Caenorhabditis elegans: one gene and its partners. The protein of the gene in region 4 interacts with the protein of the main gene of each other region in a pairwise test. Each region holds a gene or a part of one and is shown on either strand. Other genes may lie near its edges. The genes, in order: F01G4.6, cdk-9, bed-1 and cdc-37.

The links.
Region 1: the proteins of cdc-37 (region 4) and F01G4.6 interact in a two-hybrid assay, tested with the Caenorhabditis elegans proteins (one large-scale study listed by BioGRID).
Region 2: the proteins of cdc-37 (region 4) and cdk-9 interact in a two-hybrid assay, tested with the Caenorhabditis elegans proteins (one large-scale study listed by BioGRID).
Region 3: the proteins of cdc-37 (region 4) and bed-1 interact in a two-hybrid assay, tested with the Caenorhabditis elegans proteins (one large-scale study listed by BioGRID).

Annotation. Positions count from the first base shown.
Region 1 is NC_003282.8:11,145,965-11,152,291, reverse strand, and holds F01G4.6 (Phosphate carrier protein, mitochondrial), read left to right. Parts: upstream 1-3,090; 5' UTR 3,091-3,332; coding exon 3,333-3,567; intron 3,568-3,610; coding exon 3,611-3,732; intron 3,733-3,775; coding exon 3,776-4,504; intron 4,505-4,552; coding exon 4,553-4,630; downstream 4,631-6,327. Other genes in the region: C08F8.2 (ATP-dependent RNA helicase SUV3 homolog, mitochondrial), read right to left, coding at 266-344, 394-513, 560-714, 760-999, 1,071-1,295; pfd-1 (putative prefoldin subunit 1), read right to left, coding at 1,470-1,569, 1,622-1,767, 2,070-2,177; pigq-1 (PMT_2 domain-containing protein), read left to right, coding at 5,050-5,114, 5,163-5,301, 5,346-5,448, 5,503-5,650, 5,697-5,787, 5,836-6,099. UniProt on the Caenorhabditis elegans protein: Transport of phosphate groups from the cytosol to the mitochondrial matrix.
Region 2 is NC_003279.8:11,320,397-11,327,727, forward strand, and holds the start of cdk-9 (putative cyclin-dependent kinase 9), read left to right. Parts: upstream 1-3,130; 5' UTR 3,131-3,135; coding exon 3,136-3,185; intron 3,186-4,475; coding exon 4,476-4,523; intron 4,524-5,350; coding exon 5,351-5,542; intron 5,543-6,296; coding exon 6,297-6,469; intron 6,470-7,055; coding exon 7,056-7,331. Other genes in the region: hxk-2 (Phosphotransferase), read right to left, coding at 935-1,077, 1,816-1,975, 2,485-2,587, 2,662-2,696. UniProt on the Caenorhabditis elegans protein: Essential member of the cyclin-dependent kinase pair (CDK9/cyclin-T) complex, also called positive transcription elongation factor B (P-TEFb), which is proposed to facilitate the transition from abortive to production elongation by phosphorylating the CTD (C-terminal domain) of the large subunit of RNA polymerase II (RNAP II) and spt-5.
Region 3 is NC_003283.11:19,117,709-19,127,942, forward strand, and holds bed-1 (BED-type domain-containing protein), read right to left. Parts: upstream 7,206-10,234; 5' UTR 7,200-7,205; coding exon 6,944-7,199; intron 4,738-6,943; coding exon 4,627-4,737; intron 4,539-4,626; coding exon 4,461-4,538; intron 4,386-4,460; coding exon 4,276-4,385; intron 4,227-4,275; coding exon 4,095-4,226; intron 3,484-4,094; coding exon 3,387-3,483; intron 3,324-3,386; coding exon 3,082-3,323; intron 2,032-3,081; coding exon 1,915-2,031; 3' UTR 1,819-1,914; downstream 1-1,818. Other genes in the region: pro-3 (Protein SDA1 homolog), read right to left, coding at 1-125, 508-696; Y39B6A.13 (RsbRD_N domain-containing protein), read right to left, coding at 835-909, 960-1,121, 1,171-1,383, 1,433-1,572, 1,616-1,652; dyf-17 (Verprolin), read left to right, coding at 9,822-9,914.
Region 4 is NC_003280.10:575,755-583,474, forward strand, and holds cdc-37 (Hsp90 chaperone protein kinase-targeting subunit), read right to left. Parts: upstream 4,840-7,720; coding exon 4,748-4,839; intron 4,139-4,747; coding exon 3,751-4,138; intron 3,705-3,750; coding exon 3,096-3,704; intron 2,961-3,095; exon of another isoform or gene 2,907-2,960; intron 2,456-2,906; coding exon 2,333-2,455; downstream 1-2,332. Other genes in the region: W08F4.7 (CW domain-containing protein), read right to left, coding at 281-442, 837-922, 974-1,037, 1,512-1,619, 1,876-1,978; W08F4.3 (Sigma non-opioid intracellular receptor 1), read left to right, coding at 4,867-5,002, 5,064-5,185, 5,238-5,487, 5,904-6,082; fbxb-14 (F-box associated domain-containing protein), read right to left, coding at 6,357-6,995; W08F4.12 (F-box domain-containing protein), read right to left, coding at 7,470-7,603, 7,674-7,720.

The DNA of each region.
Region 1 (6,327 bases), on a different chromosome or scaffold from region 4:
CTAGTTCCGGCTTAAATATCGATTTTTTGTATTTATTATACCGACAAAATTCTAATTTAAACTCAAAAATACTAATGTAAACCACAAAGTTCAGCAAATTAATTATTTGCAAATTGAGAGAAAAATTATTGAAATTACAGTACTCTTTATTTAAAGGCGCGCGCCTTTTCGAATTTAACAAAAATTTGTCGCGTCGAGACCGGATAATCTATTTTTGGCGGAAAATCGTCGAATTTTGCGTCTTGAAAAATTAAAAAATTGAAACCTCGACTCGCATTTGTGTTGATAACATTTCAACTGTAGATGAAAGATGTTGACTTGGATGATGATTATCTTTTGCGAACCTTAAAAAACACAAATTGGAACTAATTATGAAAATGTATATTCAATTACCTTCTCTCTTCTCCAGTAACTAAATCACATGGTATTCCAAGTTCATTTGTTCGATGAAACACTTCAGCAGCAAGTAATTTCAGTGGTCCACAGAAAACTGCACTTTTTGCCTCACCAAAACTGAAATAGAATATTTGGAAATCAATTTATTGTTTCAGATAATTACCGTTTAAGAGCGTGATATGTTTTTCCACTATTCGTTGGTCCAGCGTGAAAAAAGATCTTTCTTGTCACACTTCTGGCTTCAGGATACCAATTGTGCGGTCTTGTGAGATCGGAAATGATTCGCAAATCGTCCATCGCTTCCAAGTGGGGAAAAACCTCAAAATTTCAGATAAACTCTCAATTAAGATAGTTTTCGGAAACCTGTTTGGCATGATCTAAAAAGAACGGATACAGCATTTCACAGTCTTTTGTTCCTTTTGAAATATCGCTTAATAGAATAAGAAGTCCAGGATCAACAGAATTTAGGTCTTCTGGTGTACAGTACTCTCTGAATGATTTGAAAGATCGCATGAATAATTTATCATTGATCCCGTTTTCTTTGGCAAGTTGGCGTACCATTGGACGGCGCATAAATTCATCAAGGGACATGTGAATGTTTGTCTGAAAGTTGAAAAATGAGCTTTGGAAGATGCTGGAGTTGGCATTTTTGATGAGATCGAATAAGTTCTTACATTATCTAGTGATCCAATCCATTCTCCCATTCCCGCAGCTGTTTGTGTTACATGTTTAACTTTTCGAGGTTCGACAATATCCTCAATAGTCGCAGTTTTTCTCACAGAATTCCTTTTTCTTCTAGAATTCATTGCTGGAAATCTGGAGGAGGATGGGGTTGAGCTGGTTGAACATCTTTGAGTTAGGCCTCCCAGAACTCGTAAAACACCAGACGCCCTTCTCATCTGTAATATTTGATAGAAGTATGCACACGCTGAAATAGAAATAGAAATAACGGAAATCCAGAAATTGTTTTGAAAACGTTTATACGTACGCCAGAAGAGATTCATTCGAAAAAATGATGCAAACGTAAACAATAAAGCAATTTTACACACAAAATAGAAATTATTCCCGAGGGTTCAGCGTCTACTTTGAATCAGCTCGCGAAGATTCGTTTCAGCCTCCACCAATCCTTTCTCCAAATAGTCTTTCTGCTTCTCGATAGCTTCAATTTTCTCTCTGAAAATGGGATTGGTTGTGTAAACTGTTTTGAATGGAAGAATGAAATTACTTTGACTGTTTAGCTTCAGCTTCATGTCTGGAAATTTCAGCTGGTTTGTCGGTCAGCAGGAACATACGCCCAACAGATCGATAGTACTTGAGGTTTTCATCCAAATCCACCAAGTTCTTTTTTGTGCTCTCTGAGATCCTCATTTTCTGAAAAATTTAGTTATTAGAAGCGTTACTTAAGAGAAAAAGTTATACTTTTATGTTTTTAAATATTAAAAATGCTGAGTGTTTTTTAATGGATGTGTGTAATGAAAAAATACCGATGTACAGCAAAAACTTTTTTGGCAAAGCTAGATTGTAGTTGTGACTAGCTGTGACTATTTGTGACTTAGGCACAAGCTAAGAGGTGAAACTCGCTAGTTTCTATGTTATCAAGTTATGATGTCATACATTTCTCATAATATTTAAAGTATATCAAATTTCAATATTTAATATTCAAAAATACTCACCTGATAGTTAACTTTCTTATTTTGTTCTCCTTGAACTATCCGCATTCGTGTTTCATTGGTTTTGAATTGCAAGTCGCGAAACGCTTTTGAGATCTCCTCGTCGGCCATTTCTGAAGTTGTAATATGAAAGTTGATTTAATAATTGAGACAAAAAAGAGTTGCGTTAAAAGAAATCACGAGAAAAGCAAAGAAAACAAATTGATTATCTTTGAAAAGTTGATTTGGAATAAACTTTTGAGAGATGGATTATTTATCCACAAATTTTAATTATTTTATGATTTATATATGTTAAAAAATGAGATACACCTTTTAAATGATAAAATAATAATGCTAGAAAACAGAATTTTAGATGTTGTAGTCATATTTTAAAATAAAAATGGAAAAATCGAGTAGAAATGTTTGCTGGCGCATTGCCAGAATCGAGTTAGATGTGCAGGTCATATAGCAAAGTGACGGGAGACGACTACGGTAGGGGCCGACCATGGCTCAGAGAACGTCCATGATATCTTTTGAGGCGGTTTGCAGGCCCGCCAGTGATAAATTATCAGTTATTCTACGAATTTCTTGAATTTTGAGTTTTATTGTAGATTTTTGAAGCATTATATTGCAAAATCATCTGTGATATTTTTGTTAGTGTCTCTTTTACATTTTTATACTTCCCGCATACTAATTTTTCGTGTGAATATAAATGTTTGGCAATAATTTCGGTAATTTCCAGGTAACCACCATGAGCGTGTTCAGCCAGCTTGCCGAATCATCGAAGCAGAACCCATTCAGCTTGCCGGTCAGGTCGGGTAACTGCGCCAGTGCTGTTTCAGCTCGTAAGTATTAATTGAATTTAAAAAAAAAACTTAATATATTAGCTAGCATAATATTGTCAGTAAAATAGTAAATTCACGTCCTACTTAGATTACTTTCTAGAATTTAGTTTTTTATTAGGAGGGGTAATGACAATCCGAATTTTTCTTTACCTGCATTCTCTGTTCCCACTTCCCGTGCAGCGCATGTGCACACGTAAATTGACGAGGGCTGCGAGAGGCACGGCGGAGATAGTATCTCGCGAAAAGAGAATCGAGACAGACTATTCCCTCGTTTTGCAAAACGTGGCAACCGCGTTTTAAAAAGACATAGAATCGAATATCTGTCTGCCGTTCGACGTCGTTCACACGTAAATTTCACGTGGATCATTTACTATCTTCCACGTTATTTCTATGCTACCACATGCCTAGGCGGGATTATAAGCATTGTTATAATCGCTTATCAATGACGTCCGAAACGGAAGAGAAGGCTATGCCATTCATAGCTCGAGCCAAATCTCCTCATCTCCAAACTGGAAGGGCTGGCATTATAGTGATATTATGCATGTGGATTATAATTTATTTTTGGGGTGTTACCCAACTAGTTGACGGGTTAATGGACTGGCTGGCGTACGGGTCCACTCAATATGTTGCACGGGTCGCGGTTGGTGTTGTCACCACTGTAGCTTCTTCATATGAAGGTTTATCGCTCGAACTATACAATTTAATGTTTTTTTGTTACAGCTGGACAAGTTGAATTCGGAAGTGGCAAGTACTACGCTTACTGTGCTCTCGGAGGAGTTCTTTCTTGTGGAATCACCCACACTGCCATCGTACCACTTGATCTTGTCAAGTGCAGAATTCAGGTATTACGAGAAAAATCTATTCAACTTAATTGTTTTCTTTTAGGTGAATCCAGAGAAGTACACCGGTATTGCTACTGGTTTCCGGACCACCATCGCCGAGGAAGGAGCTCGTGCTCTTGTAAAGGGATGGGCCCCAACCCTCCTTGGATACTCCGCACAAGGACTTGGAAAATTCGGATTCTACGAGATCTTCAAGAACGTCTACGCTGACATGCTCGGAGAAGAGAACGCATATCTCTACAGAACCTCTCTTTACCTCGCTGCTTCCGCCTCAGCTGAGTTCTTCGCTGATATCCTTCTCGCCCCAATGGAAGCCACCAAGGTCCGTATCCAAACCTCACCAGGAGCTCCACCAACTCTTCGTGGATGTGCACCAATGATCTACAAGGCCGAAGGACTCACCGGATTTTACAAGGGACTTCCACCACTCTGGATGAGACAGATTCCATACACCATGATGAAGTTCGCTTGCTTCGAGAAGACCGTTGAGGCCCTTTACCAATACGTTGTTCCAAAGCCAAGAGCAGAGTGCTCCAAGGCTGAACAACTTGTCGTCACGTTTGTTGCTGGATATATCGCCGGAGTTTTCTGCGCCATCGTATCTCACCCAGCCGACACTGTTGTTTCCAAGCTTAACCAAGACTCTCAAGCCACCGCCGGAGGAATCCTCAAGAAACTTGGTTTCGCCGGAGTCTGGAAGGGACTTGTGCCACGTATTATCATGATCGGAACCCTCACAGCTCTTCAATGGTTCATCTATGATTCTGTTAAAGTGAGTTTATATCGGTATTATTTTTCTTAATTAATAAAAAAAATTCAGGTCGCCCTCAACCTTCCACGCCCACCACCACCAGAGATGCCAGCTTCCCTCAAGGCCAAGCTTGCCGCTCAACAATAATTGCACTGACTAGATAATGATTTTGATTTCCTTCCTTAATCGATTGTTCTAGCCATTGTATTAATTTGAAATCCACCCAATTTGTCTCTTTTCTCTCGGTCCTACTCTCACTCTTAATTTTTTATAACTAATTAGTGCACCATGCTCGGTTTTAGTGTGATTATCATTTCCTTCATTTGTTTCAAGTTGTCCTTCAATCCCGATGTCTTCTTTTTTGAAAGATGAGTTCTCTGGCAGTGTTTTTATAAATCTCCTCCGAACAAAACCGATCGAAGAATATTGTATACGTTGGTGTTAATTTGTGTGTGTTCTCAAGAAAAGACCTCAATTGGGTAGTTCAATTAATACAGTCCACCCTCGCTCGTTTTACCGTTGAATTCCAATAAAAAAAATTGATAATAACGTGATTTTCAGAATTTATGGATAAAATTACTAAAAACGTGGTTTTAATCAGGACATTAGAAGCAAAAATTCTTCTCGTCCGGTTTGTTTCCTGAGATATTAATATTTTATACGGAAACTTAGTTTCTAGAACATTTTCCTTCACACGTCTGTTGCTTCTTGATGTTGCTTTTTCAATTTACTTATGGAATATTTGGACACCAAATTGGGAATGGACAGTCAATGAATTTTGGGATCAAACTGGAAATGTTGCTGATAATTTGAACGGAGTAATAATATTTTGAACTTTATGCTCTTCAATAAGAATTTTCAGACAATAACATGGCTGAGAAGTAATCCAGCTGGACTTAAACTTAATACTCCCGTAAATGAAACTCTTGCATGGTTCTTCACTTATCACATTTATCTATGGACAAGTATGCTCTTTTGTTTCCAGAAATTCGCATTCAACTTTCATAATGATTTTTCAGCTTTCATTGGATTTCTTCGTTCTGATGCATTCTTCCGGTTCATCGCATACTCTTTGATCGGTGGCATTTCAACATTTTCTGCGATGGTTTACGATTTCTCGCAAATATTTTTCTTGCACTTCAATTGTTTTGATGCCTACGCTACCAAGTAATCGGGAACTTCAATTGATTTTAAAAGATAATTAATTTTTCAGATTGTGCTACCTTTGTTACTACACTTTAACAGTTCTTTGGAGCCTTGTGAGGGGAAAGAAGTGGAATCCATTGAGAGAACGAAAAGACACTGTAAGAGTTTTCTGGTATACCTATGTCATTTTGTATAAATATTTTCAGGTAATCCTCGACACTCGTCAGCAATTCCTGGCAACTTCTCTGTTCGTCATCCTTCTTTTCATTCTTCCTACAATTTTTGTCTACTTCGTCGTCTTCCGATGTCTTCGACTCGCTGTATCGGCACTTCAAACCGTGCTCTATTTCTTCGCAACGTGGCCATTTCAACTGTTTGCTCTTGAAAAACATTTAGCTGAAAAATACGGAAAACCAGCGGATGCACAAAACGAAGCATTGGCTGAGAAGAAAACAAAATCCCAAAACTGAATTTGGATATATTCAATTTTGATATCTTCGGGTTTTGTTCTCATCATGAGTTTTTTCGTTGTATATGAAAATAAAATTTTGCCAATTTTCCGTTGGTCACTTTAAATTTCTAGTTGTATCACTAACTTCCCTATTTCCAAATGGGAAGCTTGATTGAAAAATAACATCTTTTCGTGAAAATTAAAAACTATTTTTTTGAATTTCGTGCGTGCAAAATACCAAATACGC
Region 2 (7,331 bases), on a different chromosome or scaffold from region 4:
GGTTTTCTTATTGAAAATCGCGAAATTTTCAGCTTTTTACGCGTAAAAAGTCCAATTTCTCAGACTTTTTAGGCTAAAAAACTAAAATTTTCCGGTGGGGGGCTTCAGGCTGAAAATTAGGAAATTTCCAGGTTTTCCGGCTAAAACTTATAAAATCTCAGGGTTTTAGGCTGAAAATCACCATATTTTAAGGTTTTCAGGCTGAAAATTACGGAATTTTCAGGTTTTTACGCTTAAAAAGTCCAATTTCTCGGACTTTTCAGGCTGGAAAACATGAAATTTCTCAGATTTTTTAGGTTAAAAAACTAGAATTTTCCGGTTTTTAGACTGAAAATCACGAAATTTTGAGATTTTTTAAGTTAAAAAACCAAAAATTTCCAGTTTTTTTGGCTGAAAACTTCGAATTTTTAGATTTTTGAGGTCGAAAACAAGGAATTTTCAGGTTTTCAGGCTGAAAATCACGAAATTTTCCAATTTTCAAGCTAAAACACGCAATTTTTCCGGTTTTTCCGGCTGAAAATCGCGGAATTTTCAGGTTTTTTTATGAGAAAAAACCAAAATTTCTCAGATTTTGAGGCTGAAAATCACAATTTCTCAGTTTTTTGGGTTTGAAAACCGGAATTTTTCGGTTTTTTCAAGCTAAAATACGCAATTTTTCAGTTTTATCCCTCTGAAATTTATGAAATTTCAGGGGTTTCAGGCTGAAAATGTCAATTTCTCGGATTTTTTAGGGTAAAAAACCAAAATTTTCCAGGTTTTCATGCTGAAAATCCCCAATTTTCAAGTTTTTCATAGCTTTTTTTCTGCTTTTTTCACGAAAATTCCCAATTTTCATGGTTTTCTTCAAATTTCAGTGGCAATTTCTTCAACTTTTATCGCTTTTTTTCCAGTTTTTCAGCGCGTTTTCAGGCTAAAAATCCCGATTTCCTCGTACTTTTTGTCCGGTTCCATGCATTGCGGCATTTGGCATTCTTGTATTAAATTGTTTAGTTCTCATCGGCTCACCGGGCTCCAGTTCCATCAACATTACACGTAGATTTGTGCCTCCGAGGTCCATTGCAACGAATTTTCCACGTTCTGCAAAAGAAAATCATTGATTTTTACTGAAAATTCGGCGGAAAGTGGCTGATTTTGGTGTAGGTGGCTTAGAAAATGGTGAACTGGGATTTCTAGGCCACCTAAAGTTAGGCCATAGTATGACAGTTGTTGTTTTGCCGCAAGAATGGAGTTCTTGGTAAAAATCTGGTGGAAAATGAGTAGGTGGCCTAGAAAAAGCTAGTTTTGGATTTCTAGGCTACCTAAAGTTAGGCCATGGTGTGAATTCATTGAAATTTACGATTTTTTCAGTAGAACATGAAATTTTCGTGAAAATTTGGCGCAAAATTGCTGCTTTTGGTGATGGTGGCCTAGAAAATGGAGGCCTGGGATTTCTAGGCCACCAAAAATTAGGCCATAGGCTGAAAATATGAAAATCAACGTTTTTTCAGCAGAACATGGAATTTTCTTGAAAATTCGGGGGAAATGAATGAGTTTTGTGTAGGTGGCCTAGAAAATGATGGGTTTGGATTTCTAGGCCACCAAAAGCTAGGCCATGGATTGAAAAATCGAATTTTTAGCCAATTTTTCGGATTTTTTGAATTTTCAGTCAAATTTTCTACGTTTTCAAGAGAAAAATCAGTGATTTTTATGAAAATTCTTGCTTTGGTGGCCTAGAAAATGGTATATTTGGATTTCTAGGCCACCAACTGGAAAGTTAGGCCACGACCGTAAAAACCCATTCTTAGGCCATTTTTTCTCGATTTTTCGATTAAAAACCTTTTCCATTCGGCAATTCTGGCACAAAAGATGGTAACATTGCAATTGTGGACCGTTCCAAGCCGGATTCCAGTCCTCGATCCATATTATCTGATAAATGGGACATCATTCGTCGGAGAGTCGTATTTGACAGCTTAAACTCGGCCATCACGGATTCCAGCTGCAAAAATATCGATTTTTAGGTGGTAAATTGGTTGGTGGCCGTGAAATTTGGGTTTCTAGGCCACCGAATGGAAAAGTTAGGCCACGGACTGATTTTTGATCAAATTTTGATATTTTTAACGGGTTTTAGAGTTAAAAAGCAGCAAATACTCAAATTGTATTTTACGGTGGCCTAGAAAACCCAAAACCGGATTTCTAGGCCACCAATTCGGAAAGTTAGGCCATCGATTCGAATTTCGGTGATTTTCGAAGATTTTCACTTTTTTGGACATTGAAAATGAAGTTAATATCAGATTTTTCTGAAAAGGTGGCCTAGCCGGATTTCGAGACCACCAATTCGAAAAGTTAGGCCATGGACTGATTTTTAGTGAAATTTTGCATTTTTCGACTATTTTTTACGACAATTTCAGCGAAATATGCCAATTTATTGTGTATTATAAGGATTTTCATGCTTAAAAAGCCATTTTCAACAGTTTTTCTCCCGAAATTTTCCGCCAAATCTCCCACCGAAATCGATTCTTCATTCAGTTTCGACGCCATTTTTGCCAGCGGAGTCGTCGGCGTCCGCGGGCTCTTTTTTCCCTTTCCATGGGCTTGTGAACGCCATATCCTGAAGAAAAATGCGGTTTTATCGATTTTATCGATTTTTCCCGGGCGGAAAAAATTGAAAAATGTGAAAAATACCGATATTGAATGCCGAGCTCGATGATACCCAGCATTTTGTGTAGATTTTTGGGCTGAAAATGTTAATTTTGACATTAAAAAATAGTGGGAAAACAGATTTTTTATTTGTTTTTAAGAAAAATAAAATAATAAAAACCACGGGTTTCAGGGGCACACACAAATTGTCAATATTTTTGAGTGAAGATTTGACGAGAAGACGAGGAAAAACATGACGAAGAGACGCAGGCGAAACCCTTCGAAATTGATGATAGAAATGCTTTTTTTTTTGCAAAATAAAATAAAATACGGAAAATGTCAAGTGTGTGCGGCGGTTTGCAAATATCGCGCGCCCGCATTGCAATTGAGCCACTCCGCCCCTTTTCTCTATTTCTCAATGTTTTTTTTTGCAATTTTCCTCTATTTTTTCGGTTTTTTCGCAATTTTTTCGCAATTTTTAATGTTTTTTTCCACAAAAATTAACAATTTTCAGAGCAAATGAGTGCTCAAAACTATCACGCCGGCCTCCACCAGTCGAGTACACAGAGGTTCGTTGGATTTTAAGCGAGAAAACCCCCGGTTTTTCGTTGATTTTCACTAGAAATTCGTGATTTTAACGTGAAAAACACCCCAGATAACTAAAAAATCCACGATTTTGATTTGCAAAACAAAAAAATCAAAAAAAAATTCGCAGAAAATTGATTTTTCGGCAGTTTTTGAGTGAATTTTCACACCGAAATTTATTAAATTAGCGATTTTAACAGCATTTTCCACTGAAATATCACCAAAAATCCAAATTTAAACCTAAATTTTCACTAAAAACCGAGTTTTCCACCTTTCTGAGCAGATATTTATCGATTTTAAGCAATTTTAGAGAGTTTTCCGCTGAAATTTTCGAAATTTTCCCCGAAAAATCGATATTTTCATATGAAAAACTATTAAAAAACTATAGTGAAAATCGCTGTTTTTTCCAACTTTCAGTTTTTTAGGCTGTTTTTTTCACTAAAAAGTCGATTTTCACCCGAAAAAACCGGGGTTTTCAACTATTTTTACTCATTTTAAAGCAATTTTAGGGTGATTTTCACTGAAATTTCTCATTTTTCCCAATAAAAATCGATATTCTCGTTGAAAAACTACGGAAAATCCCTGTTTTTCCAACTTTTTCAGTAGGTTTAGGGTGTTTTTTCACTAAAAAATCCAAATTTTTTCGATTTTCCCCTAAGAAACCCGGTTTTTCACCTATTTTTGGGTAATTTTCACTGAAATTTCCAATTTTTCCCCTCGAAAAATCGATATTTTTACGTAAAAGACACCTTTTGAACACTAATTTCCACTGGAAATCCCTGTTTTTTTCACCAAAAACCCAAATTTAAACCTAAATTTTCACTAAAAACCGGGTTTTCCATCTTTCTGAGCAGATATTTATCGATTTTAAGCAATTTTAGAGGGTTTTTCGCTGAAAATTACCTCAAAATCACTCCGAAAAATCGATATTTTCATGTGAAAACTACTGAAAATCGCTGTTTTTTCCAACATGTTCATTTTTTTGTACTAAAAAGTTTTCGTCCGAAAAAAACCGATTTTTCACCTATTTTTACTCATTTTAAAGCAATTTTAGAGTGATTTTTCCCCGAAAAATCAATATTTTTACGTAAAAAACACCTTTTTAACACTAATTTCCACTGGATTTTTTTCGGCAAAAATAATGAAAATTCACTCAAAATTCGTGATTTTAACGTGAAAAACACCCCAAAAAACCGAAAAATCCACGATTTTGATGACAAATCCCCTAAAAAGTACTCATTTCCACCCAAAAAACCGCATTTTTTCATGTCCAGACCTCCGAAGCGGCCGAACACCGAGCATGCTCAGGAGCCGCCGAAAAGGTACGGAATTTAGGATGGAAAGTCGATATTTTCCACTGCAACTTTTTCCTCACGAGGGACGAGGAAAAGTGGTTTCTAGGCCATGGCCGAGGAGCCGACAAGTTTCAGCGGCCATTTATCTTGCTTTGTTTTCCGCCTGTTTTCTTTTGTTTTTCACAGCTTTTTCCCGTTTTTTCTTAATAAAACTGATAAATAAATATTTTTTGCAGATGCTAAAACAATTTCCAAGTGAAAAAATTATGCATTCAGTGGGCAAGCAGCGGTGAAAATGGTCAATGCAATATGATGGATTACGGGAATACAAAACCCAAACTTTTCCCCAAAAATGATACATATGATGTTTAGATGGTAAAAGTACCTGATTTTCATAACGAGACCGCTGAAAAAGTTTTGAGGTTTCCAAAATTCAACTTTTTTGGTGAAAAAGTCGAGATTTTCACCAAAAAAGTCAAAACTTTTTCAGCGGTCTCGTTATGAAAATCAGGTACTTTTACCATCTAAACATCATATGTATCATTTTTGGGGAAAAGTTTGGGTTTTGTATTCCCGTAATCCATCATATTGCATTGACCACTTTCACCGCTGCTTGCCCACTGAATACATAATTTTTTTAATTGGAAATTGTTTTAGCATCTGCAAAAAGTATTTATTTATCAGTTTTATTAAGAAAAAACGGGAAAAATCGATGAAAAACGAAAGAAAACAGGCGGAAAACAAAGCAAGATAAATGGCCGCTGAAACTTGTCGGCTCCTCGGCCATGGCCTAGAAACCACTTTTCCTCGTCCCTCGTGAGGAAAAAGTTGCAGTGTAATTTCCCATTTTTCAGAGCTCTAATCGGCGGTCAAACGACTCCATCATCATCCGGCGGTGGACAAACACCAAATGGAACAAATTATGAGCTTGAAGTGAAGCAGCAACTATCGAATTATCAGAAGCTCTTCGATCAGGCAACGTATCCGTTTATTCGAGATGTTTCCACGTATGAGAAGCTGAATAAGATTGGACAGGGCACTTTTGGGCAAGTTTTGCAGGGCCGAAAATCGAGGAATTCGTGTGAAAAAATTGCTGAAAAACCGGAAAAATTCGGCGGAAAATCGGCAAAAAAACACATTTTTTAAATGGATTTTAACCGAAATTTTACTCCAAAAAACCTAAAATTCCGCGGAAAATGAAGACGTGGCCTAGAAAAATCATTTGAAAAGCTCGGTCATCATTTCTCAAGCGATGCCCTAGAAAACTCCGCTGGGAAAAACTCGGCCACTGCAAAAAACCTGTTTTTTTCCATTAAAAAACCACTCAAAAACAGCGTTTTCCATGTGGTGGCCTAGAAAAATCCTCTAAAAAAACTTCGGCCACCTCGAAAAAACCTGATTTTTTTCTGTAAAAACCGCTCAAAAACAGCGATTTTTATGTGGTGGCCTAGAAAAATCCACTAGGTATACCTCGGCCACCGCAAAAAACCTGTTTTTCAGTGAAAAACGCTCAAAAACTGCATTTTTCATGAAATGGTCTAGAAAACTCCACTAGAAAAACTCGGCCACCAGTGAAAAAACTTCGGCCACCGCAAAAAAACTTCGGCCACCGCAAAAAACCTGATTTTTTTTTCAGTAAAAACCACTCAAAAACGACGATTTTGAAGCCTAGTGGCCTTGAAAACTCTACTAGAAAAACTCGGCCACCAGTGAAAAATTTCGATTTTTGTCCATTTTCATCGGTTTTTTCTCATTTTTTAAACGTTTTTCTTGTAAATTTTTAATTTTCCCAATTTTCAGAGAAGTATTCAAAGCCCGATGCAAGAATACAGGCCGAATGGTTGCTCTAAAGAAGATTTTAATGGAAAATGAGAAGGAAGGATTCCCAATTACAGCACTACGTGAAGTTAAAATGCTCGAACAGCTTAAACATCCAAATATCACTGATCTTATCGAAGTTTGCAGTGCGAAAAGTGCGTTTTTCGCACGAAAAACGGCAGAAAACCGACCCAAAAATGTGAAAAATCAAAAAATTCACGAAATCTCACGATTTTGGCCGGAAAAAACGCCCAAAAAACTGGAATTTCATGGATTTTTGCCTGAAAAATGCAAATTTTTAGCCCCAAAAAATGGGCTGAAAATCGATTTTTCGGCAGTTTTCCGACGGAAAAATGCTCATTTTGAGTGATTTTTCATTGAAATTCACTGAATTTCTCCTGAAAATCCGGTTTTTCAAGCGATTTTAAGGCATTTTCCACTGAAATTTCATTAAAAACCAGGGGTTTCCACCTATTTTTACTCATTTTAGACCAATTTTAGGGTAATTTTCACTACAATTTCCGAAATTTTCACCGAAAAATCGATATTTTCAGGTGAAAACCACCTTTTTGAACACTATTTTCTACTGAAAATCTCTGTTTTTTCACTAAAAAATCCATATTTTCTCGATTTTCGCCCGAAAAAACTGATTTTTCACCCAATTTTACTCATTTTAGACTTATTTTAGGGTGATTTTCACTGAAATTTCCCAATTTTTCCCCAAAAATCCAAAAAATTCAGGTACTGGAACGACGGGATCCAAGGATCGTGCAACTTTCTACTTGGTAATGGCTCTTTGTGCACACGATTTGGCTGGTCTCTTATCAAATCCGAAAATTCGAATGTCTCTTGTTCATATTAAAACAATGATGAAACATTTGATGTCTGGATTGAATAAGCTTCATCGTAGTAAAATTCTTCATCGTGATATGAAAGCTGCAAATGTTCTCATTTCGAAGGATGGAATACTCAAACTTGCCGATTTTGGACTAGCTCGGCCTTTTGTGCAGAGAGAAA
Region 3 (10,234 bases), on a different chromosome or scaffold from region 4:
TTCGCCAATCCGGACAGAAAAAGCACCGAATCGACGAGAGATTGCATTTCTTGACGAGATTGTTCGGGTTGCAAGTGGAGAAGTTTCATTGTTTGAACGAAATAGTTGAATTGTTCGAGGAATTCCTGCAAAAAATTAATAAATTAGAGCTAAAATCGATAAATTTCATGAAAAAGTGTAGTTTGTAGTCGAAAAATGTATGTATTTTTAATTTTTATTTGAAAAAAGTGATGTTTTAGCAGAAAATTGGCAAAATTTGGTGTTAGCAGCGCCCAAAAACTTGTAGTTTGTAGTCTTAGCAGCGCCCAAAATCTTGTAGTTTGTAGTCTTAGCAGCGCCCAAAATTGAATTAGCAGCGCCCAAAATCTTGTAGTTTGTAGTCTTAGCAGCGCCCAAAATCTTGTAGTTTGTAGTCTTAGCAGCGCCCAAAATCGAATTTTTCGTCGTTTTTTACTCAATTTTAACCCAAAATTCGCGAATTTTCTCGTTTTTTCTCGAATTTCGCACCTCTTTATAGGATTCCGGATCTTTTCGAATAATTTCTTGCATCAATCCCAAATTCCTTTCGGACATTGTGAAGCGTGAAGCTTTTCCAGAATTGGAGCCCTCCGTCGGAGCATTGCTTTTTCCATTTTTTTTGCCGACTTTTCCGATCCTTTTTTCGCCCTTTCCGGGTGATTTTGACACTTTACCCATTTTTTTGGCTGAAAATGTGTGGAGTTTAAGGTTGAAAAATTAGGAAAACAGTGGAAAAAGTAAGATTTCTGGCTGAAAACCAGTAAAAAGACGATAAAATCAATAAATAAACCCGTTTTATTAAAATTTTAGTACTATTTACACATTTTTAGATTCAAAATCCAAATATTTCCGCTCAAAATCCGAATTTCCACGTGGCTCGAGCTCCATTAGCTGAAAATTCGAATTTTTACTCATTTTTCCTTCAGAAAATCGATTAAAACCTTCGTTTTCATCTTTAAAAACGATTTTTCTTTATATTTCCCATCTTCCGGCTCTTCTGACATCACAACTCCGTCGAGCAGGTCCCGGGCGCCGATTTTCCTGAATTTCCCGTCTTTTGGGTATAAATTCACCGAGTTTTCGAATAAATCCTTTAATAATACCTGAAATTAGCTCAAAAATTAAAGATTTCGGCAAAAAATCACCACTTACGTTAGTGGCAAGCTCGAGAAGCCTCGAAATATATGAAATTTCAGAGAAATTTATAATTTTCGGGCATTCCGAACCGAATAAATCGATTATTTTCAGCAAGAACATGGAATTCGCAAAGGTTTGCTGATCTGACGGCAGAAATTGGAAAGCGTGGAGAAATTTGAAGAGAAAATCGGGAAATTGCGCCGAAATTTGCGGATTTTCACGATTTACCTGAAAATTTTGACGTTTTTCTTCAAATTTTGATGAATTTCACACTCACCTCCTTGCCAGCTTCATATGTATCAAGTTTTTGCATCGAAATCTTCACAATCAACCGGAAAACGCGCTCTTTTTCATCGCCGCTTCGAATTTCCTGGGATATTTTGTGCCATGAGCGATATATATTGTCAGAACTGAATTCTAAAATCAAAAATTAAATTTTTCAATCATTTTAAGCACTTACGATCGAAAATTTCACGAAAAATGGGGGCAATATCCATGAAAATAGGTGAGAAATCAGAGAAATTCGTCGAAAAATGAAGTGTCGATTTACGGTAAACAAGGCGCGTTGGCGGGATTTCGGAGCGTCGTTGCGTGGGAATTTAAATCAGATTAATCGGGAAACTCTATTTTTTATTGATTTTCCGCTGAATTCAATGAAATATTAAAAAAAATTGATTTATTTCGGATGAGAAAATTGTACAGAAAATCAATAAAAGAGAAATCGGGATAAACTTTTGTGGAAAATAGATTAAAAATTGGTTATTCTTCGTGCTCTTGGGCCTCATCTTGCTCCTCGCCGAGTTCTCGTTCCAATTTTTTGATTTCCAGCTCCAGTTTTCTAGATTTCATTCGATAATATGTTGTCATGGCGTCTTCCTGCAAGAAAAATGGGGTTAGCAGCGCCCAAAAACTTGTAGTTTGTAGTCTTGGCAGCGCCCAAAATTGAATTAGCAGCGCCCAAAATCTTGTAATTTGTAGTCTTGGCAGCGCCCAAAATTGAATTAGCAGCGCCCAAAATCTTGTAGTTTGTAGTCTTAGCAGCGCCCAAAATTGAATTAGCAGCGCCCAAACTTGTAGTTTGTAGTCTTAGCAGTGCCCAAAATCTTGTAGTTTGTAGTTTTAGCAGCGCCCAAAATTGAATTAGCAGCGCCCAAAATCTTGTAGTTTGTAGTCTTGGCAGCGCCCAAAATTGAATTAGCAGCGCCCAAATCTTGTAGTTTGTGGTCTAAGCAGCGCCCAAAATTGAATTAGCAGCGCCCAAAATCTTGTAGTTTGTAGTCTTAGCAGCGCCCAAAATTGAATTAGCAGCGCCCAAACTTGTAGTTTGTAGTCTTAGCAGCGCCCAAAATTGAATTAGCAGCGCCCAAACTTGTAGTTTGTAGTCTTAGCAGCGCCCAAAATTGAATTAGCAGCGCCCAAACTTGTAGTTTGTAGTCTTAGCAGCGCCCAAAATTGAATTAGCAGCGCCCAAACTTGTAGTTTGTAGTCTTAGCAGCGCCCAAAATCTTGTAGTTTGTAGTTTTAGCAGCGCCCAAAATCTTGTAGTTTGTAGTCTTGGCAGCGCCCAAAATTGAATTAGCAGCGCCCAAATCGTGTAGTTTGTAGTTTAGCAGCGCCCAAAAATGAATTAGCAGCGCCCAAAATCTTGTAGTTTGTAGTCTAAGCTGCGCCTAAAATTGAATTAGCAGCGCCCAAAATCTTGTAGTTTGTAGTTTTAGCAGCGCCCAATATCTTGTAGTTTATAGTCTTAGCAGCGCCCAAAATTAAATTAGCAGCGCCCAAAATCTTGTAGTTTGTAGCCTAAGCAGCGCACTCATTTTTTCGCGGTTTTGGGTCATTTTTCGTGATTTTTTCGATTTTCCAAGTGAAAAAATCGATTTTCAAGTATTTTTTGAGCCAAAAATTCAAATTTTGAAAATCCCCTACTCTGGCAATTGTCGAATGCAGTGATTGATTATACAATACTTTTGCCTCAAAATCCAAAATTTGCACCGCCTGTGCATTATATTTTGCCGGCATCATTGGCGTCGCTGCTGCTGCTGCTGACGTGGCAGAGGCAACAGCTGATGACGTCATCGCCGGGATCTGGGGCGCCGCGGCTGATGATGACGTGGCAGTGCTCGATGGAAGAGGTGGCCGACGAATTGCAGAGAGAATCGATAGGGAGACTGAAAAAAAAGTTGTAGTCTTTGTAGTCTTTGTAGTATTTGTAGTCTCTTATTAAAACCTACATTTTCCACTGTTTAATGCTGGATTTTCAGTCAATTTCTGCTCATCGGCTCTTCGCTTCTTGGTTTGTGCTCCGCCAGAGCTTGAGCTCACTTGTTTCTAAAAATTTATTGATTTTTCCGGAAATTTATTGATTTTTCCGGAAATTTATTGATTTTTTCGGAAATTTATTGACTTTTTTGGGAATTTATTGATTTTTTTGGGAATTTATTGATTTTTTTGGGAATTTATTGATTTTTCTGAAAATTTGTTGATTTTTCTGAATATTCATTGATTTTTCTGAAAATTTATTGATTTTTCTGAAAATTTATTGATTTTTCTGAATGTTCACTGATTTTTCTGGAAATTTATTGATTTTTCTGGAATTTCATTGATTTTTCTGAAAATTTATTGATTTTTCTGAATATTCATTGATTTTTCTGAAAATTTATTGATTTTTTTGGAATTTATTGATTTTCTTGGGAATTTATAGATTTTTCTGAAAATTTATTGATTTTTTTGGGAATTTATTGATTTTCTTGGGAATTTATTGATTTTTCTGGAATTTCATTGATTTTTCTGAAAATTTATTGATTTTTTTGGAATTTATTGATTTTCTTGGGAATTTATAGATTTTTCTGAAAATTTATTGATTTTTCTGAAAATTTATTAATTTTTTTGGGAATTTATTGATTTTCTTGGGAATTTATCGATTTTTCTGCAAATTGTACCTCCTCATCCTGCTGAATTGGCGCGGCGATCGCTATAACCTCTTCACACCGCCCATCATCAATTCCGAGTAGTTTTTTGAGCGCCTGGTCGGGTTCTGGCTCCAAGAGCCCGTTTTGTTCGGTTTCCTGGAACTTTTGCAAAAATATTAAAATATTTCTACACATTAATAGAAGAAATTACCTGTTGCAAATTCCTTATTACTGCGTCGATTTCCGAATCTGCACGGCTTTGCGGGTCAACAACTAACATGTGTTGTGGAGAATCGTGATCCGGTAAGCCACCACGTGGCGCTGAAAATTTGAATGGAAATTGTGGGTCTCGCCACGAAATTTCGTAAAAAAAGTTACAGTAGTAAGTAAACTCACCAGAATCATCGACATTTAAAAACTGTTCCAGAAGGTTATCCATATACGATTTGGTGTCTTCTGTCACTATTGTATAATCTGAAAATTTACAAAAAATCGGTAATTTTCACACTGCAAAAGCCAGAAAATCGATATTTTCCCCTAAAAATCAATACAAAACCCATACCTTCCATCTTCTTCCGTTTCCGCCGGGCTACTGGTGGCGGATTTTCGGGGTCAAAATTGATGGCGGCCGGGTGTATTGTTTTCAAATGACGTAATAGTGCTGATGTTCCACCTGAAAATTTAAAAAAAAAGTAAAAAATATGCGAAAAATCGTTGAAAAACCTTAAAATTGAGGTTAGCAGCGCCCAATTTATGTAGTTTGTAGTCTTAGCAGCGCCCAAAATCTTGTAGTTTGTAGTCTTAGCAGCGCCCAAAATCTTGTAGTTTGTAGTCTTAGCAGCGCCCAAAATTTTGTAGTTTGTAGTCTTAGCAGCGCCCAAAAATTGAATTAGCAGCGCCCAAAATCTTGTAGTTTGTAGTGTTAGCAGCGTCCAAAATTTTGTAGTTTGTAGTCTTAGCAGCGCCCAAAATTTTGTAGTTTGTAGTCTTAGCAGCGCCCAAAATTGAATTAGCAGCGCCCAAAATCCTGTAGTTTGTAGTCTTAGCAGCGCCCAAAATCTTGTAGTTTGTAGTCTTAGCAGCGCCCAAAATTGAATTAGCAGCGCCCAAAATTTTGTAGTTTGTAGTCTTAGCAGCGCCCAAAATTTTGTAGTTTGTAGTCTTAGCAGCGCCCAAAATTGAATTAGCAGCGCCCAAAATCCTGTAGTTTGTAGTCTTAGCAGCGCCCAAAATCTTGTAGTTTGTAGTCTTAGCAGCGCCCAAAATTGAATTAGCAGCGCCCAAAATTTTGTAGTTTGTAGTCTAAGCAGCGCCCAAAATTGAATTAGCAGCGCCTAAAATCTTGTAGTTTGTAGTCTTAGCAGCGCCCAAAATTTTGTAGTTTGTAGTCTTAGCAGCGCCCAAAATTGAATTAGCAGCGCCCAAAATCCTGTAGTTTGTAGTCTTAGCAGCGCCCAAAATCTTGTAGTTTGTAGTCTTAGCAGCGCCCAAAATTGAATTAGCAGCGCCCAAAATCTTGTAGTTTGTAGTCTTAGCAGCGCCCAAAATTGAATTAGCAGCGCCCAAAATTTTGTAGTTTGTAGTCTTAGCAGCGCCCAAAATTTTGTAGTTTGTAGTCTTAGCAGCGCCCAAAATTGAATTAGCAGCGCCCAAAATCCTGTAGTTTGTAGTCTTAGCAGCGCCCAAAATCTTGTAGTTTGTAGTCTTAGCAGCGCCTAAAATTTTGTAGTTTGTAGTCTTAGCAGCGCCCAAAATCTTGTAGTTTGTAGTCTTAGCAGCGCCCAAAATCTTGTAGTTTGTAGTCTAAGCAGCGCCCAAAATCTTGTAGTTTGTAGTGTTAGCAGCGTCCAAAATTTCGTAGTTTGTAGCTTTAGCAGCGCCCAAAATTTAATTAGCAGCGCCCAAAATCTTGTAGTTTGTAGTCTAAGCAGCGCCCAAAATCTTGTAGTTTGTAGTCTAAGCAGCGCCCAAAATCTTGTAGTTTGTAGTGTTAGCAGCGTCCAAAATTTTGTAGTTTGTAGCTTTAGCAGCGCCCAAAATCTTGTAGTTTGTAGTGTTAGCAGCGTCCAAAATTTTGTAGTTTGTAGTCTTAGCAGCGCCCAAAATCTTGTAGTTTGTAGTCTTAGCAGCGCCCAAAATTGAATTAGCAGCGCCCAAAATCTTGTAGTTTGTAGTCTTAGCAGCGCCCAAAATTGAATTAGCAGCGCCCAAAATTTTGTAGTTTGTAGTCTTAGCAGCGCCCAAAATTTTGTAGTTTGTAGTCTTAGCAGCGCCCAAAATTGAATTAGCAGCGCCCAAAATCCTGTAGTTTGTAGTCTTAGCAGCGCCCAAAATCTTGTAGTTTGTAGTCTTAGCAGCGCCTAAAATTTTGTAGTTTGTAGTCTTAGCAGCGCCCAAAATCTTGTAGTTTGTAGTCTTAGCAGCGCCCAAAATCTTGTAGTTTGTAGTCTAAGCAGCGCCCAAAATCTTGTAGTTTGTAGTGTTAGCAGCGTCCAAAATTTCGTAGTTTGTAGCTTTAGCAGCGCCCAAAATTGAATTAGCAGCGCCCAAAATCTTGTAGTTTGTAGTCTAAGCAGCGCCCAAAATCTTGTAGTTTGTAGTCTAAGCAGCGCCCAAAATCTTGTAGTTTGTAGTGTTAGCAGCGTCCAAAATTTTGTAGTTTGTAGCTTTAGCAGCGCCCAAAATCTTGTAGTTTGTAGTCTTAGCAGCGCCCAAAATCTTGTAGTTTGTAGTGTTAGCAGCGCCTTTTTTTTCGATTTTCTGTCATTTTTTGCTCAAATTGAATCATTTTTTTCGATTTTTTTTTGCAATTCTGTAGTTTTAGTGTCATTTTTCTTCAAATTTTCTCTAAAACCTTGTAGTTTGTAGTCAAACGTCACCTTTAACTTGAAATTCAGCAGCACAATAATTACAGGCGGCTCGTTGGCTTTCAGCCACCCACGTAATGTGCTCCCACACAATAGACCGGCCTTTTGACGACGGAAACCACGCCGGCTTCGTTTCCAACGGAATTTCCGATAAATCTACGGGGTTTTCAGGATTTTCAGCTAAATTTTCAGATTCTGGTGCTCCTGGAGCAATTATGTAGTTAAATTCGTCGGGTTCTAGCTTGATGTCTTTTTGAGTGGATTCCATTTCTGAAAGTTTGAATATTTTTCAAGAAAAAAAAAGGTTTTGAGTGGAAAAATCGATTTTTTGCGGGATATGTATTTATTTTTTACATTTTCCTAAAAAAAATAAAAAATAAAATCATATTTTTCGACATTTTTTACAAAAAAAATCAAGGAAACCGTTGAAAATCAGTTTAAAAACTCAAAAATCGATATGCAAAACAAAAAAGTGGGTTACTGTAGGTTTAACGGCGCATCACTCAAAATTTTGCTGGAGTCTTGGAAAATATTTGTATTTTAGCGATTTTCAATGATTTTTCATCATTTTTATGCCAAAAAATTGAGAAAAAAGCGTAAAAAGCAACGAAAATTTTTTAAAAAAGCCCAAAAATCATCTTTTGCAGAAAAGAAAACCTATTTTGCGGTGGTTTTAAAAGCGCATAGGCTAAAAATTTTGCAGAAAAAACTTGGAAAAATGTTAAAATGTGCTGAAATTGAATAAATTTTCATTTTTAAAAAATTTTACCGAAAAATTTGCGAAAAAACAATAAAAACCAACAAAAAATCGCAAAATTGGGTTACGGTCGGTTTAAAGGCGCATAACTCGAATAATTTTAGGAAAATTGTGAATTTTCGGGATTTTTTTACTTTTTACCGTTAAAAGTCAAGAAAAAACAATAAAAATCGGCGATTTTTTGCAAAAAGAAAAGAGTTACTGTAGGTTTAAAGGCGCATAACTCGAAAAATTTGAGAAAAAGCGATTTTTTTTTGTTTTTTTTTCTTCGCATTTTCTTATTAATTTTTAATATTATTACTATTCCAACCTTATTATACATTTGCACAAAAATTATTCCAAAACCTCTAAAATTGGTAAAAACGGCAAAAAAAAGGTATAAGCAAGAGGCGAAAAAGGCGGGAAGAATGAAGGATTAGCCGAGGCCTTTGGGCAGGAGACACCCCCCAACGAGATAGCACACAAACATAAGAGACCGCAGACGGCCCAATCAATTCGGGCCCGAGACAGCCTCCCCGCCTCACGCGGCCTTCCTAGAGACAATGGGGAAGCCGGAGGGTGTTAGACGGGTAGACGGGCTGAGTGTGTGGGGGGGGGGGGGTACATAGTTGTTGTCTTCATGGCCTCGAGAGGAGTGTCACACATCTGCCTCGATAGCTCAGTTGGGAGAGCGCACGACTGAAGATCGTGAGGTCACCAGTTCGATCCTGGTTCGGGGCAATTCTTTTTTGTTTTTTTTTAAAATTAAAATTCAACTATACGCCTTTAAACATACCGTATTCCTGTATTCCTTTAATATTTGGCAAAAGTCGTTTTTCTCAAATTCTACTGGAAAAGCCAATCAAGCGGGCTGAAATAAACATTTTGCAACATTTTTTGCCAGCTATGCGCCTTCAAACCTACCGTAACCTTTTATTTTTGCAAAAAAATCAATTTTTCTTGTTTTGGCTCATTTTTACAGTTTTGTTCTGGATTTTTCACATGAAAAACGATAAATATCAGTGCAAAAAGCATGTTTCTACATTTTAGCCCAAAAAATTGTGCAATGCGCCTTTAAAGCTACCGTAACCTTTCAGTATTTACGAAAAATTGTTTTTTCCTTGTTTTGTGCTTAATTTTCCGGTGTTTCCCTTATATTTCACATGAAAACGTTGAAATGTTTTTCTCAACAACTTTCTCAACTTTTTGCCCAAAAATTTGTGTGATGCGCCTTTAAATCTACTGTAACCTTTTAAATTTTCGAAAAATCGATTTTTTTTCTGTTTTTGGGTTAATTTTTCTGTTTTTTCTTGATTTTTCACTGAAAATTGACAAAAAATTGAAGAAACATACAGAAAAACTAAATTTTTTGCTTTTTAACGCAAAAATTTGTGTGATGCGCCTTTAAACCTACCGTAACCTTTTAATTTAAAAAAAAAATCAATTTTTCTCAGTTTTTGGAGCAAATTTTTTGGTTTTTCCCAGATTTTTCACATGAAAAACTCTAAACCGTAGGGCAAAATCATGTTTCTCCATTTTTAGCCCAAAAAATTGTGCAATGCGCCTTTAAACCTACCGTAACCATTAAATTTTTCGGAAAATCGTTTTTTCTCTGCTGTTGGCTCAATTTTTTGGTTTTCTTTCGTTTTTTCGCAAAAAATGAACAAAAATTTCTAAAAATTGGTTGAAAATGCCAGAAAAACCTGATTTCTCAATTTTTGGCTATATGCGCCTTTAAAGCTTCCGTAACCCAATTTTAAATCGATTTTTTCGCTGAAACATTCGAAATTTCTGTTCAATATTGCCATTTTAGGCTTCTAAACAATAAATTTGTCAAAATGTGAGAGAGCTGGCTCCCCGAGAGACGCAGAGAAACGGAGACGGTCACCATGGTGACAGCTGCCTCAGTTGCACGGCCATTTTGGGATTTTTGAGCCAAAATTTTAGAATTTTGATGTATACTGTAGTTTGTAGTTTGTAGTTTGTAGTTTTTGTAGTTATGATAATATAACATGCTCAATATTTTGATTTTGGAAAAAAGTCCCGAAAAGTTTTGGAAATTTTTTTTTGCACAAAAAATTTCGTGTTTTTTTCGAAATTTTTTTTTTGAAAATTGTTTATTTTTTAACGTCAAATTATGTTTTTTAACAGGAAATGCTCCCAAAAAACGAAAAAGAAGCATTAGTCGATGTTGATGATAGGATTGCAATGTTGGAGAGGCGGCTGGACAACGCGAAGGCCGCGAGGGTAAGGACTAAAACTCTTATATCTTGAAAACCAATAGTGCTATCAAAAAGTTGCTAACTAACATAATGATCAGTATCAAATTTCCTATATTTTGTTAGTTGACAATATAATTGTATGACTAACCCGAAAAAAATTGCAATAGGAAACGTCTACGGTGTCAAAACCGTCAGGTGGCTTCTAAAGGCTGTAACTCTTTAGAGGCTAGAGCAATTTTTGCCGACTATTAAAATGATCTACACAAAATTTGCAATATATCAATAGTTAACAGCTTTTCAATATCTTTCCTAGAATCTGAGTTATGACACTTTTTAGTTTCTCTC
Region 4 (7,720 bases):
GCCACTTTCGGGGTTTCTAGGTCACCACCTGAAAAAATTCAAATTCAGCATGACAAGAGCTTCGAAATAACACCCATATTGACTAGAATCTCTTAATTTTAACTTTGATGGGTCTCGTCACGAAATACTACAGACTGTCTACAGTAACCCTGGATGGTATCGTGGTAGGTCCTAAACTTAGGAAATTTGGTCAGTATGGGTCTCATTAAAAAGCTCTCGGCAAGCTGATTACGTCGAAAAAATTGTATAAAAATTCAGAAAAAAAAGTTTCGCCACTTACAAGAATTATCAGGTCCCGCCAGGAAGTCAATTGTGGCAAATGCTCCACAAACTTTTTCTTTCATACAGTAACCACTTCCACTACGGTATAGAAGGTTAGTCTGGTCCTCTGTGCAATTTGGAAGGCCTGACGGAGGATTGTTCATCAGTGCACAGGCATTTGCTGAAAATTTAAACTTTTTAATAATCAAGGTGAAAAATTTGACATTTTTCCTACAAAATCCTATTTTAAAAACTAAAAAATATCGATTTTCGGCAAAGTTACAAAGCTTTGAAGTTGGTGGCCTAGAATTTCAAATTTCTAGGCCACCAACTTAAAAAAAAATTTGATTGTGCAAAATAATTCGAAAGCTCTCAAATGACCCCCATAATGGCAAGCATCCCTTCTTTTCGAATTTCATTGGGTTCCACCACGAAAAGCTACAGTACGCCCCCCCCCTTTTTCGTGCCGAGACCCTCCAAAATTTAAAATTGAGGGATTCTAGTCAATATGGGGGTCATTTAAAAGGTCTCGGTGAGCTGGACTCGATTTTCAGCAAGAAAATAAGTTTCCTCACTAGTATCCGTATATATCCCATCAAAAAGTCGAACCAAATATGGCTTGCATGTCTTCCAGAATCCGGATTGAGATTTTAGAGCTTCCCTGAAAATTGTTCAAATTTTTTCAAGCTGAAAAAAATTGAAAAAAAATTACGAGGTGATCCATCCGACATTGATAAGTCCAAGTGAAAGTGTAGAACTGATTGGAAGTGTGAAAACTATAAAATATCGATTTTAAATTAGAACATATTATGGGATCACATGCGTACTGCACAACATATTTGACGCGCAAAATATCTCGAAGCGAAAACTACAGTAATTCTTTAAATGACTACTGTAGCGCAAGGTGTCGATTTACGGGCTCAATTTTTGAAATTAATAAAAATAATTTATAGAATATTTAAACTAAGTAAAAAATAAGAAAATAATTCGAAAATAAATTAATTTCAAAAATCGAGCCCGTAAATCGACACCTGGCGCTACAGTAGTCATTTAAAGAATTACCGTAGTTTTCGCTACGAGATATTTTGCGCGTCAAATATGTTGTGCAATACGCATTCTAATAACATTTCTCAAAATAAAAATTGAAATGTTTGAAAAAAAAATTAATTCTTTCTGAATTTTTTGAACTTTTCCAAAAACTCTGAAATTGCAGATTAAATTATTTTTAAATCAGAAAATCAATAACTAACAAGCATTCATCACATTATACGACGAAGATCCACAAGTGACACCTCCAGTCAGGGGTACTGTAGCTGATTGGAGCGTCTCACAGTAACGAATGACAGTTGGGGTCCAATCTGGAAATTATTTTTATTTAAGAAATCATTTGTGTCACGTGGTGTCAGGCTCTTCCCATCACGGTTTGATCTACAAAAAATGCGGGAATTTTTCGCCCTAAAATGTGACGTCAGCAGGCAAAATCAGTTGAGAACTCTGCGCCTCAACTCCCGCATTTTTTGTAGATCTACGTAGATCACGCCGAAATGGCACGTTATTGGGTCTGCTAAATCAAAATTTGAAGTTTGTAGGCTAGCAGACCCATCCTAGACTCACTTCCATACAAGCTCAATTGTGCCAAGGAAAATGGGACAAAAACTAGTAGAATAAGCCGCGAATTTACCATTTTCAGCCAAAAAATGACCGATAATACATCCATTATTGAACTTTATAGTTGTCAGGCGGAGACTAACGTTTGCTTACAAAACATCACTTTCAAAAAATCGTGAGAAAAAAAAACGAATAAACACAATAAGAAGAAAGTTGATGATGATAATCTTTATGCTATTCCGAATTGGAATTTTTGAATACGAAGTGGAACGATTCTCGAAGCAAAAAAAAACTTTTTTACAGGTGTTCGAGAGGGAAAATAAACAGTAAATGTCGTGGGGGGTGTAGAATAAATAAAGAAATAATTGGGCCATTTTCAGTGAATCTTGGGGAAAAAGTAAAGTGCGGTGCAGAAAAAACAAGTAGATCAGGGGAACTTTCAAACGGGGAATAATGGGGAAATTTAGGAGCTGGTTGTTGGCTCTTCCTCGGCTGGAGCAGCTTCCTCATCGTCGTCGTCGTCGTCAGCTTTTCCGGGCACCCAGAGTCCAGAGGCGATGCATCGATCGAAATGGTACTTGAAGACCTGAAAATTTGGATTTTTGGATGTTGAAATTAGATGAATTTGGCTAAAAATAATAGCCTACAAACTACTAATTTCGATTTAGCAGACCATAGGTGGTTTTGAAGAAATTTGGTCTGCTAGACTACAAACTACAAAACTCGATTTAGCAGACCAAAATTAAAAAATGCCTGTTTTCAGCTTAAAATTTTGATTTTTGATTCGTTTTTTTTTGGAATACAATGTTAATTCACTCAAAAATTTGAAAATAGATCAATTTTCCCCCGAAAGTTCAGATTTTTTCAGGATTTTATATTAAAATACGCACTTTTGTCTTAAAACACAAAAATCGCACAATTTTCCACTAAAAATCGCAAAAAACCTGAATTTTTGCTAATTTCTATTTGAAAAATATTCATTTTTCCGCTGAAAAATTGAAAATTTATCAATTTTTGCAATTTTCATTGCGAAAATTGAAAACTTTGGGTCTGCTAGTCTACAAACTACACATTTCGATTTAGCAGACCAATGCCATTTTGAAGAACCTTGGTCTGCTAGACTACAAACTACAAATTCCGATTTAGCAGACCAATGCCATTTGGAAGAAACTTGGTCTGCTAGACTACAAACTACAAATTTCAATTTAGCAGACCCAAATATTCACCTCTTCATCCATTTTCTGGGCGACACCCTTCAACGCCTCGATATCATGTGCCTCAAAGCACTTTCTCATCTCCTCCGGCAGCTGCTCGAACACTTCCTGTGGATCGATTCCTCCCGGAGCACTCTTCATTCGTTCGGCTTTCTCCTCGGCTTCAGCCTCCTCCATCGCGGCGTCTCTCTTCGTCTGCGCACGTGTTCTGAGACGATCCTCGAACGCCTTCACCTCATCCTGATAGTGCTTCATGTAGACCGGCTCGGCGGCTTCGAACTTCTTGAAGAATTGCTTCTGGACGGTGGTATTCGTGGCGACTGCGTTCAGCGATTTCGAGAGCTCCAGAAGATATTGAATGATGATGCATTGCTCAGCCATCGTCTTCATTTTCTCCTCATTAAAATCGATGGCGGCGTTGAGAGCCTCAATTGTGAGCCAATTTGCAGTGTACTCCGACGCCATATGCGGATGCTCGGCCAGGAACAGCTCCGTCGACTTGGCTCCGTTCTTGAGCACGGCCATCTTCTCCAGAAGGCTCTCGTGAGTCTCGAAGAAAGTGCTCATCGCATGAGTGTCCTCCTCATCGGTTTTGGGAGCTTGCGGCTTCTTCTCGGTGATCTGAAATTACAGAATTAATCAATTTGCACAGAAAAATCTTCAAAACCTTATTGATCCTCGACGTGCTGAACGCCTCATGACCGATCGTGTCGACGTTCCATGGCTCCAGACGCTCTTTCTCCTCGAGTTCGGCCTCCTTCTTGCGCCAGGCTTCTTCTTGCGCCTTCACCTCGTCGATTTGCTTCTGAATATCCGACTTGTCAGTGACATCGGCTGCGGCAAGCTTCTTCTCGAGCTCCTCCATCTTCTTGCTCGTCGTGCCCTTTTCCTTATCGATTTTCTCCTGTTCCATCTTCTTCTCGGCCATTCGCTCCAAACGAGCTTGATGGCGCCATCTGAAGAGCGACGGAGTGTCAATGTTCGGGTGAGTGTCGTCCTCGTCGTCGGAAACCTCGATATCCTTCCATTTGGAGTAGTCGATTGGCATTTTTGAGCTGAAAATCGAGAAAATTGAGTGGAAAATAAGGAATTAGCAGGAAAAGCGAGAGAAAACTGATAATCGCTGGAAAATTCCGACTCGGTTGCCACGACAACGAGGATAATCCGCGTGAAATTACGAAAACAGAAATTTCATGAAGAAAACGTGGCATTATAATGATGTTTCAAAGGATTTACGTGGAATTAACTATTTGCTGAGCAATTTTCGAGAAATTTCTTCAAAATTTCTCAAATAGAAATACTACGTTTTCTAGCGGATTTCGGCCTTTTTTTTGGCCCAAAACTCCGACAAATTGATTTTTAAAAGCCTGTAGAATTAAATTTAGACTTCTAAAAGTGGAAAAAATCGAAGGAAACCCCGAAAATAACATGAGAAAGGCGAAAAATGACTTTTGTTTTTCTTCTCGGTCCTTCTGTGGCAATGCGCGTCAGATATGGTGTTTTCTGTGTGCTTCTGCGTCACGGTGTTTGCACACAATTCCTTTTTCGCTGATTTTTTTAATTTTCAGCGCGCTGCAGCGCCATTTCTTGCATTTTTCAAGCATTTCCATTGATTTTTCCGCGAAAAAACATCTGAAATTTCAAAAAATCAATGTTAAACTCACAATTTTTCTTCTTCGCACTCGCTGTCCCTCTTGAAAACTCGCGAAATGACTGTATTTCCTTTTTTTTTCACGCAAAATTTCCAAATTTCCATGTTTTCAGGGTAGTTCAACACGTGAAAATGGCTCTTCTCACCTCAAAGCTTCGGTATCTTCTGCTCTTCTACGCAGTCTTCCAGGCTGCTCAATTTGGCCTCCGCTGGAAGTCTTATGACATCTCGCCGAAGCAGTTCAAGACTATCGCTGGAAAGGCTGCTGGTGAGGAAAAACATATTTTTCTGCGAAAATACCGCAATTTTAATATATTGTATATTTTCAGCTGCTCCAACAATCTCCCAGTCAATTTCCACATTGACGTCTGGAATGCGCACTTATTACGAGCCAATCATGCCAAGTCACTTCGAATGGCACGCTATTCAGTTGGGAGGCCTCACTTTAAGGGTGAGGAACAGGAAAAATCGAAAAAAAATCTTAAATTTAATGAATTTTCCAGATGTACCCAATGCTGACCGCTTTCACCGAGTTCGCCGCCGCCTTCTCCGCTCCGTTCCCAACTTCAGGACGCCCGGGGCTCCATTGGGCAAATACGACGTGCACCGTGTTGAAAGGAAAAGTCAGCCGATTCAATGACGGAACTCAGGACGAGACGTCGGAGAACTTTGCTTCGGGAGCCGCTTTCAGGCACGGACAGTTCGAGTCCCACGTGTACAGCTTCGAGAAGGACACCTACGTCGCGTGCTACGGTAAATTACACCGAAAATCAAGGAAAATTCGTTTTTTTTTGAGTCTGGCAGACCAATTTCGAATTAAAATCACCTGGGTCTGCTAAATATAATTTTGTAGTTTGTAGTCTAGCAGACCAATTTCGAAATCAAATCACTTGGTCTGCTAAATATAATTTTGTAGTTTGTAGTCTAGCAGACCAATTTCGAACTGAAATCGCATGGTCTGCTAAATACAGTTTTGTAGTTTGTAGTCTAGCAGACCAATTTCGAATTGAAATCACTTGGGTCTGCTAAATATAATTTTGTAGTTTGTAGTCTAGCAGACCAATTTCGAACTGAAATCGCTTGGTCTGCTAAATATAATTTTGTAGTTTGTAGTCAACCAGACCCATATAAAAATCCCCTCGTTTCTAATGAATTTTTATATTTTTCAGGTCGCGGCTTCCTCCCACTCTCCTCCACCGTCCACGTCACCTCTGGAATCTCACTCGGCGAGCCACTCTCGGTCATTCAATTCTACATGAAGCAGGCCTACAACTACTGGAACAACCTGAGCCACACCCTCTATCGTGTCTTCCAGCACTACAAGGCCCGCGCCACTGGAGAACTTTAAATAATTTATGTGATTCCCCATCCGGTGCATTTCTACAAGCATTCTAACCCGAAATTTTCATTTATTCAGTCATGTTTTATCCCAATGTCCCCCCTCTACTTCCATTTTTACGGTTGTGTAATTCGATTTCTTGAGCCATTTTATTGCATAATTTAAAATACAAGAACATATTTATTTCATCACCTCAACCATTTAACCATATAGCTCAACCGAAAAAAATAATTGCACAGGTATTTGAAGGCATTTGCAGTGAAAGATGATCAAAAGTCGCTGCTTACTCATCGTCGGCCAGCCGGACGAATCGAACAGTAGTTCTGGTGAGGGAAACCTTTGCCTTGATCCCTCTTTTGCACACAATTTGGACGTGTTGAACCATTCCATCATCCACGACCAGAGGATCTTCGTATCTAGTAAAGTCTATTCCGCGGAGAATAGTTCCATGTACAGGATGCTCAATATTCAGACCATCTACAACAAGATCACTGATTCTCAGCTGTGAGTTCTGAATCCAGATCTTCAAGAACAAGTTGACATCCTTTGCAGTCATTGAGTGGTGCAATGAACGAAGCGTTCGACTATTTGACAAGAACACCTCGTTCAGTGTGAGATTGGTGACTTTCAGCTCCTCATAATTTTGAACCAAGAGTTCTTTTCTTATTGGGACCACGACAATCTCCAGGTTCTCTGGATGAGTCCCGAAGAGATGGTGCCCCTGAACTTCCGTGGATGTGGTGCTGCAGCTCGCGATCTTCCTGTTCTCAAAGAGAGAACAAATCGTTTTTATCTCTTCATTCATCCCATTTTCGAGGTTAATGTGGATTTGCCGGTTCTGATGCAAAACCTCGTGGATGTGGTCCAGGAACTTGATAAGTGTGAGGTGAGGAATCTCGATTTCGTCTTCAGATCCTCGCATATTCCTTCTAGCTACCACCCTCGGTGGATTTTCTTTAAATATGAATAAATATCTGTCATTGAGACTGGACCTCAGCCTGATTGTCGAATCAGAGAATGTCAAACTTTCGTGGTTCCCGTTGACTCTGGCAACCGCAGTTTTCGCTTTTGCTGAGAGTAGCGAGATCGAGAATCTGAAATAACATAAGGTTTGGGAGTCAACTTGAAGCTGTTATTTTGGGGTTTCTTCCAAATTAATTCTTTAAAGAATAATAAGAGTTGGAGGTTTTGAGGTTATTACGGTTTATTAAGGATAAATTAATAGAGAAATCACCGAGTTAATGGGACATGTAAGGAGGGGAAAAGGACGATAAGTAACACAAGTAAAAGGAATTAGAGAAGACCTAGAATGAGCGTTTCCGGCTCCTTATATAGGGGAATTGGGCGGGGCCAAGAAAAGTCGAGAATGATGACAATTAGAGTTGGCGCCGGCAATTCAGATCCGCGCGCCGTCCGGTGGGGCGCGCTTGCATCGTGACCTCCAAACGTTGGCAGGCCTAGTCGTTGTCTTGGGCAGCGGTTCTGGCCGGATAACCGTGATGTTATCCGCTACGACATCACTTGCTGGACCTGTAAGACTATACGAAAGTAATGCTCTTGTATGACGGTGGGAGAGTACAAGGATCGTGAAGATTCTTACAATATCTGTCATTGAGACTGGACCTCAGCCTGATTGTCGAATCAGAG